Stegostoma tigrinum: one gene and its partner. The protein of the gene in region 1 purifies or fractionates together with the protein of each later gene. This does not show direct contact. Links are inferred from orthologs where the notes say so. Each region holds a gene or a part of one and is shown on either strand. Other genes may lie near its edges. The genes, in order: mtor and akt1s1.

Region 1 (3,916 bases):
TAGAAATGGATGGATAGAGGATAGAGGGGTCTTTTCCCTACTGTTGGGGAGTTCAAAACTAGAGGGCGTAGATTTAAGGTGATAGGGGAAAGAGTTAAGAGTACCTAAGGCATAACTTTTTCACGCAGAGTGGTGCGGAGTTACCAGTGCAAGTAGAGAAAGCAGGTACAATTACAACATTTAAAAGGCATCTGGATGGGTGTGTGAGTAAGAGTTTAGAGGGATATGAGCTAAATGCTGGCAAATAGGACTAAATCAGATTGAGATGTTTGGTTGACGCAACACAAGTTGGACCGAAGGATCTGTTTTTGTTCTGCATGACTCTATAACAAAACAACACAACGACAAAATATTACAATTAACAACTGCTCATGCTGGAAATCTGAGACAAAAAGAGAAATTGCCAGAGCAATTCAACAAGTCTCGTAGTATTTGCGGAGCGAAAACAGAGTTATCTCTTCGAGCCTGGCGATTCTTCTTCAGAGCAAAATAAGTGAATCGTCTCCAGCTAAAGGTCTAAACTGAAATAAGGGAACATCCTGCTTCTTTTCCTTCTTACTTACCTCCCGTGTACAGAAAAGAGCTGGATAGGCCACCGAAAAAGATCAGAGCTAAGTGCTCAAGTTTGAGTTTGCACAAAAAGTAGAGGGAACAGGCGCAGAGGCAGCCCAGAGTGTAGAGGCAGGCTCCGAACCGCACCACGTCCTGTGGCTCTAGGATCCGGTCCACCAGGGTCCGGTCGTCGCTCTTCTTATGATCGATGCCCCTGCTGAAGTCGTAATAAGTGTTCACTAGGTTACCGGCTGCGTGTACGGCCAGCACGGCCAAGGCAGCCAGTAGGGAAATGGTCAGATCGAGCTCGCCCAGATTCTTGTAAGCCAGGGCCGTACCCAGGGCAACAGGGGTAAGCGAGGCGCTGAAGCTCCAGGGCCGCAGTGCAAGCACATACGCGGCGCACTTCTGCTTCAAGCTCCTGCCGAGACCCTGCACCACTTCCCTGTCCACAGCGGGGATCTGCATTCTCGACTCGGCGTCCACTTCCATCTGCTTAGCCTCCCCATTCTCTTTCATCCTCGGCCCGTCTCACCTACTCTCCAGTAATCACCGGCTGACAACCGCCATCTGCCAACAAGCCCACATCGCAGGAAAGTCACGACCTCAAACCGACATGCTACACATGCGCAAATGCTCAACCGTCTGGAGAGTGGGAGGAGACCGGTCCGCGCGACTGTAACGGAATTCCTCGCGCACACCCACATGCGCATTGATGACTGCGACTCGCTTTCACTAACGTCATGGTGAGCCGCCCTCCAGCACATGGTAGCGCACCTGATTGGTTCACACAGATGTCAATCACCTGCGCGCTGTGCCTGAAGATCATTTTATTTCCTTTCAATATGGCAGCTTATATGGAGTAGAATTGTCAATTTACTTTGAAGTGAAGAATTTATGCTTTATTTATTGTAATACAACAAGAGAGTAAGTATACTTGGATGGTTATCCGTTATGATTATTTAAGTGTAAAATTCCAAGCGGCTAGGTTATAAAAATATCTTTCGGTGCTATTTGTAAGTTTTCTGGTGTATGTTCCAGAATTGAAGTTTGATAGATTTTGGGTTTATTATCATTTATAATTCATTGTCAGACAGTATCTCTAACTGATGAGCAAAGAAACGCATTTCAGAAAAAAAACTCCAGCATTTAGACAGAACGTAACACCCCAACAAGCAGCCTGATTGCAAAAACAGAAAATGCTAGAAAAAGCTCAGCAGATCTGGCAGCATCGGTGGAGAGAAATCAGACCCAGTGTTTCGGATCGAGTGATCCTTCTTCGGAACTCGACCCGAAACGTTAACTCTGATTTCTCACCGCAGATGCTGCCAGACCTGCTGAGCTTTTTCAGCAATTTCTATTTTAGTTTCTGATTTACAGCATTCGCAGTTCTTTCGATTTTTAAATAGCTTGGTTACCTATGGTAGATCATCTGTTTCACAGAAATAGAAAACATTACCATAATTCAATAAAGACACGAGGACATTCTGAGTGTTCTATTTACACATTAGAGGCGAAAAATGTGAAAAGGTGTTTTTTTTTTAAACAGGGGTGTATACTATTACTTTTAATGAGTCCGATAGGCCTGTTATTTCAAAATCTTTTATATATTTGGAACATGTCTGTTGGTTGGTTTTAACATTTATTTTCTAAGTTGCAAACTTATCTCTAATAGCTTTTTTGTCCTTATTTAAAGACTGCTTAGCCAAATATAAGACTCTTTTGAGACAAGCTTTCTCTTTGTTAAACTACATTTGTGAGATGAACAAGGTAGAAGGAAAAAAAAATTGAGAGACAGTGGCATTCCTGGCAATATAAATACTTTGAATTGTTGTAACTCTACTTCATGATGCTCCTTTATAGATCCTTACAAGTCCTACTGCAGCAAATTAAAGGATGGTGTTCTTATGAAGTGCCTTGGGACAATTATATTAGACACTGCTTAAAAGTTATTGTTTCTTGACTTTCTGTTGGTCTGTTTGATCTGTGTCACCTTTTGAGGGCTTGATTGGTTAGCGGGTGACATGATCATTTGAGGGGAGGCAGCAACATTGTGTTCATGTCACTGGCCTGGTAATTAAAAAAATGTTGTAAAATCCAGCTGACTGAAACCCCTCACCCACAACGTTCACCTGCAAGAGTGGCTTGGCAGTAGTATGACTGAGTTGGATGGGTCCAAAAGGACGTAGCTGCTAGATTGGGTCTGCAGCAGGCGGTGACGGAACCAACAAGAGGGGGAAAAATGCCTTGACCTTGTGCTTACCAATCTGTCAGCTACAGATGTATTGGCCCGTGACAGTATTGGTAAGAGTGACCACCTCACAGTTCTTTGGGAGGCGAAGTCCTGCGATCATGTTGAGAATAACACATTGTGTGGCACCGCCATTGTGCTAAGTGGGACAGACTTCAAACAGATCTAGCAACTCAAGACTGGGCATTCATTAGGCACTGATAATGGGAACTGCAGATGCTGGAGAATCCAAGATAACAAAGTGTGGAGCTGGATGAACACAACAGGCCAAGCAGCATCTCAGGAGCACAAAAGCTGACGTTTCGGGCCTAGACCCTTCATCAGGGAGGGGGATGGGGAGAGGGAACTGGAAATAAATAGGGAGAGAGGGGAATGCGGACCGAAGATGGAGAGAACACAAGATAGGTAGAGAGGGGAGTATAGGTGAGGAGGTGGGGAGGGGATTGGTCAGTCCAGGAGGCGGGATGAAGTGGTAGGTAGGAAATGGAGGTGCAGCTTGAGGTGGGAGGAAGGGATGGGTGAGAGGAAGAACAGGTTAGGGAAACAGAGACAGGCTGGGCTGGTTTTGGATGCAGTGGGGGGAGGGGATGAGCTGGGCTGGTTTTGGGTGCGAACCCAGCGGAGGTGTTCTGCAAAGCGGTCCCCAAGCCTCCGCTTGGTTTCCCCAATGTAGAGGAAGCCACACCGGGTGCAATGGATACAATATACCACGTTGGCAGATGTGCAGGTGAACATCTGCTTGATATGGAAGGTCATCTTGGGGCCTGGGATAGGGGTGAGGGAGGAGGTGTGGGGGCAAGTGTAGCACTTCCTGCGGTTGCAGGGTAAGGTGCCAAGTGTGGTGGGGTTGGAGGGGAGTGTGGAGCGGACAAAGGAGTCGCGGAGAGAGTGGTCTCTCCGGAAGGCAGATAAGGGTGTGGATGGAAAAATAGCTTGGGTGGTGGGGTCGGATTGCAGATGGCGGAAGTGACGGAGGATGATACGTTGGTTGGTGGGGTGGTATGTGAGAATGAGGGGGATCCTCTGGGCACGGTTGTGGCAGGGGCGGGGTGTGAGGAATGTGTTGCAGGAAATGCGGGAGACGCGGTCAAGGGCGTTCTAAACCACTGAGGG
Region 2 (3,916 bases), on another chromosome or scaffold:
AATATCACCTTACAATCTTCTGTAAATAACCACATCCCATATTGCATGCACTGTACTATAAGGAGCTAGGAACTATTTATTACCTTGTGGCTCTCTGTTGCTGGCAACATCTTAAACCACATTCTAATGACTTTGTATTAAAGGGTGTAAGGATTCTCGACATACGGACACATCATCCCACATCACTGTACTACACAACAGGATATAAGAAATGAGTTATTACCTTGTGACTCTCTGTAGATGATCCCATCATTTTATTTCAGCTCGTCTCAAAACAAATCCCCTTGCATCACTTCCGGATGGTGCTTATTTCTTACTGGTTGTTAGTTGACTCTCCTACTATTAGGGAGGAGGAGGAGGGGTTTAGTCAGGATACCAATGGCATCATCCCAAGTTTTCATTGTCCAACTCTTTTTTTTAAACACTGCCCTATCTTTAGGAGTCGGGCTTGTGAATAAAGTTCCAAGTTCAGTGTCATATTTAGCAATTCCTATTATCTCTCATATTTTAGCTCGTTGGCTGACGTCAGTGTCTTATGACTTGGATGTTGCCCGGGGCTAATAAATTATTGTGACAAGTCTGGATTTAATCTCAAAAACAGGGTGCAGTGTGCCAGCAACGAGAGTAATCTTGTGCAAAGCTATCCTTCTACCTCGCTAAAAGCGCGGATCCTCTAATATTATCCATTGAATATTTTGGTTGATTTCTGCCTCTTTCTTTCAGATGTTACATGGTACAACAACGTAAAAATCGTAATTATAGAAAAGGCTCCCTCCCGGCCGCCATCTTTGTGAGGGGAACTGGTGTGTTGTCGGGGGAGGATGAGCTTGTGCTTAGATTCAAAGCCTTATGCTCTTCCCCTCTGGTTTTTTGGTGGAACACTCGACGCCCTTTGTATTTTTGTTCTCCCAGTCGCTGCAGGCCCCGAAGCTGCAGTTTAGTACTTGTTGCGCGTGGCTCTATGGCCGGCTGCCATCTTAATGCGGGGCTCACCCCCACCTCCGTACTCAGGAACAGTCACGCGGTCGCTCCTCGCTCCCTTCAAGTCACCTTTCGAGGTGAGGGATGGCGTTGAGTTTGACGCGATGGAGTGGAGTTGAGCGCACACTGACGGCGCAGAATGTTTAAAAATTCTCGAGGAAAGGAGTAAACAAACTCCCGCCATGTTTGTTCGGGGCGGTCGCCATGTTTGTGCGTGGCATGCGTGGGTATGTCCGTGGACACCGATTAATTTTTAATCGTTCCCTTTTTGAAATATAAATGCCCACGATCGTTGTCACTTGGCATCTGAAACAATATACTAGTGGGCAATGAGCTTAAGTAGAAAAGGTAGTTTTTTTCAAAAGCGTTTACATCGGACGTAGACGGTGACGTGCTGACATAAGAAGGCGACGCAGTGCGCATGCGGGCCTGGCTCTGGGAAGGTTGGAGGGAGACACCGGTAAGGAGCTTGGTGGGCTCTCAGCTGGTCTCCTGTGAATTAATCTTCCTTCTTCTGCCCTCCTTGCGTCCTCTACTTGTCCCTTCTCATCTCCTACCTGCTGTCCACGCTTACAACTCTCTGCACGCTGCCTCAGGACCCTTTATTCACTCTTCGTTTTTTTGGGGGGGGTGGGGGTGTCTATCAACGCTTCTCCCATTGCTGCTGTTTGCTTTGTTTCTGCACCTGAGGCTGTTTATAGTGTGTAATCTGCCTGACCATGCTCTGGTTTTGGGGGAGGTGTTGTTCGGATCTGTCTGACCGAGTTCTGGTTTTGCAGGAGGTGTCTGTATTTGTAGTGATCAGCTACTTCATGCTGTAGTTTTTGACGAGGTATTTGGAGTGATCTAGCTGACCGTGCTCTGGTTCTTGGGAGAGGTGATTGTAAGGCTCTATCTGACTGGTTTTGGGGGTTGGTGGGGATTGTTACCGTGTGTTGCAGGAGGTCGTTATCCTTAACCAGCCTTGAGTTAGTGTTCTGTATTGGCATTGTACTGTGTTCTTGCATTTGTGTGTATTCGGTTTGCTTTCAACATCACTCATTTGAAGATTTCTGCAGTATGAGCTGCTAACTTACCTCAATGTGAATATTTTTGTTTATCAAGCCTTTCCTCAGTGAAGTTGTGCTCTGTGGCCTGCTGCAGTTTTGGAAGGGATCTTTTGGATGCAATATTAAGTTAAGTCCTGTCCCTATCTGCTCTTTCAAGTAGCTGTAATGGCTCCTATGGCACTATGCTGAACATCATTAGGATCACTAATGACTGGCCCAGTGTTTAGCCCTCAACTGGGTTATCTGATCACTGCGTATATCAGAGCTTGCTGTTAAGTTAATTGTGGTTTTCCCTTGTGTTACAGCAATGGCCATGCTTCAATAGCATCTAGTTTTAAAGTTCTTTGGGAGACCTTGAAAGCTGATGCATGATTCCAAGTATTTCTCCTCCTTGTGTGAATTAGAAGCCACTACAACATTCTGACTTGAACATGAGACCTCTGCTGATACTTGAGTGCAGCCTTAAGGCAGTAGCTTATTATCAGAGGTGCAATCTTGTGTTTTGTGTAAGGTGTTAACCTGAAGTCATGTCTCCTTTCCTCTGGGAACGTAAAAGAGACTTGCCCTTCTGTGTGGTAGGCAAGGTCTTCTGGTATCTTGAATAATTTTCTGGAAGTTAAGCAAAAATGTGCATTTCTGTAGTGGCTTTCAGTGCATCCTCAACTGAACCACTTTTGATGTCTGTGTGATCATGTGCATACTAGTACAGCCAATTTGTGCGCAGCAAGTTCCCAGAAACAACAATGTACAAGTAGACAGATAATCTGTCTTAGGGATGGTAGTTGAGGGGTGACTAATGATCAAGACACCAGAGAGAACTTATTTTTACCCCTTTTGTTTTTGAGTGATGAAAGTTTTACATCAGAGGATAGCTGGTGGCCTTTGTTCAATATTTTCCTGAATAGCAACAATCGCCAACAGTGCAATTTTCTCAATTGCATAGTGTTTTAACTAAAGCTGTGTTCTCTAGTCTGTGATTTTGGGATTTGAACCCACAACCACGGCCACCCGTAGAGCCAAGGCTGGCATGAGCATTCGGAACTTTAAGTATTTGGAAGAATGTTGTCTTGGCATGGTTATGTAGATGAACTTTTATGTTACAGTTCTCACCTAATAATTACTTCTGAATTGTGGATTTGTACCAAATGTGTTGACGCCTTTGAGACTGAAGGGTATTATTGTTTTCTGAATAGCCGTTTTGACTTCCTGGCTTCTTTTGAACCTTGCCAAACAAACTGTGCAGCCATTTTATTTTGTAAATGGTGTTGTCGTGAGGGGTTTATAAGAGCTATAGCAAAAGGACAGTGCGATGTAAATATACTCCTAAAGAGGTGCTCTTGGTCTATGCCATTGTGAAGGCAACCTGTGGGTAGTAGAACACTTGGGATCTGCTAAAGATGGAGTTTTCCCAAACTATGCAATCTTTCTTTTTGTTCATGGAGTCTGAGCACATTGGCTAGGTCAGCATTTATTGACCATCCCTACTTGCCCATTAGGTGGTGGGGAGCTGCTGTTTTGCACTATTGCAGATCATGAGGTTTAGAGCATCCTTGGGGCCATTAAGGAATTCCAGGATTTTAATTTGGTGGCAGTGAAGTAACAGTGCTCTAGTTCCAAGGTTGGATGGGCTGTGGCTTAGAGGGGAACTTGCAGGTTTCTGTGTACTTGCAGCCCTTGTTTCTCTTAGTGGTAAAGGTCATGGGTTTGGAAGATACTGCCTAAGGAACCGGAGTGTTATTGCAGTACACTTTTTGTAGACGGTATGCACTGCTGTTGCTGTACATCAATGGTGGGGTGAGTGCATGTTGAAGGAAGTAGATGGGATGCCAGTCAAGTGGAGCTACTTTGTCTGAGATGGCGTCAAGCTGTTTGAGTATTGGAGCCAC

What was found.
Region 2: the proteins of mtor (region 1) and akt1s1 purify together in Homo sapiens (affinity purification with western blotting; 8 studies listed by BioGRID and IntAct, with this or other methods). This does not show direct contact. The link is inferred for Stegostoma tigrinum from reciprocal best matches to the Homo sapiens genes MTOR and AKT1S1.

The regions. Positions count from the first base shown.
Region 1 is NC_081381.1:39,048,866-39,052,781, forward strand, and holds the start of mtor (serine/threonine-protein kinase mTOR), read left to right. Parts: upstream 1-1,379; 5' UTR 1,380-1,479; intron 1,480-3,916. Other genes in the region: ubiad1 (ubiA prenyltransferase domain-containing protein 1), read right to left, coding at 564-1,071. UniProt on the Homo sapiens protein: Serine/threonine protein kinase which is a central regulator of cellular metabolism, growth and survival in response to hormones, growth factors, nutrients, energy and stress signals.
Region 2 is NC_081391.1:21,800,189-21,804,104, reverse strand, and holds the start of akt1s1 (proline-rich AKT1 substrate 1), read left to right. Parts: upstream 1-1,375; 5' UTR 1,376-1,402; coding exon 1,403-1,441; intron 1,442-3,087; exon of another isoform or gene 3,088-3,916. Other genes in the region: tbc1d17 (TBC1 domain family member 17), read right to left, coding at 84-122. UniProt on the Homo sapiens protein: Negative regulator of the mechanistic target of rapamycin complex 1 (mTORC1), an evolutionarily conserved central nutrient sensor that stimulates anabolic reactions and macromolecule biosynthesis to promote cellular biomass generation and growth.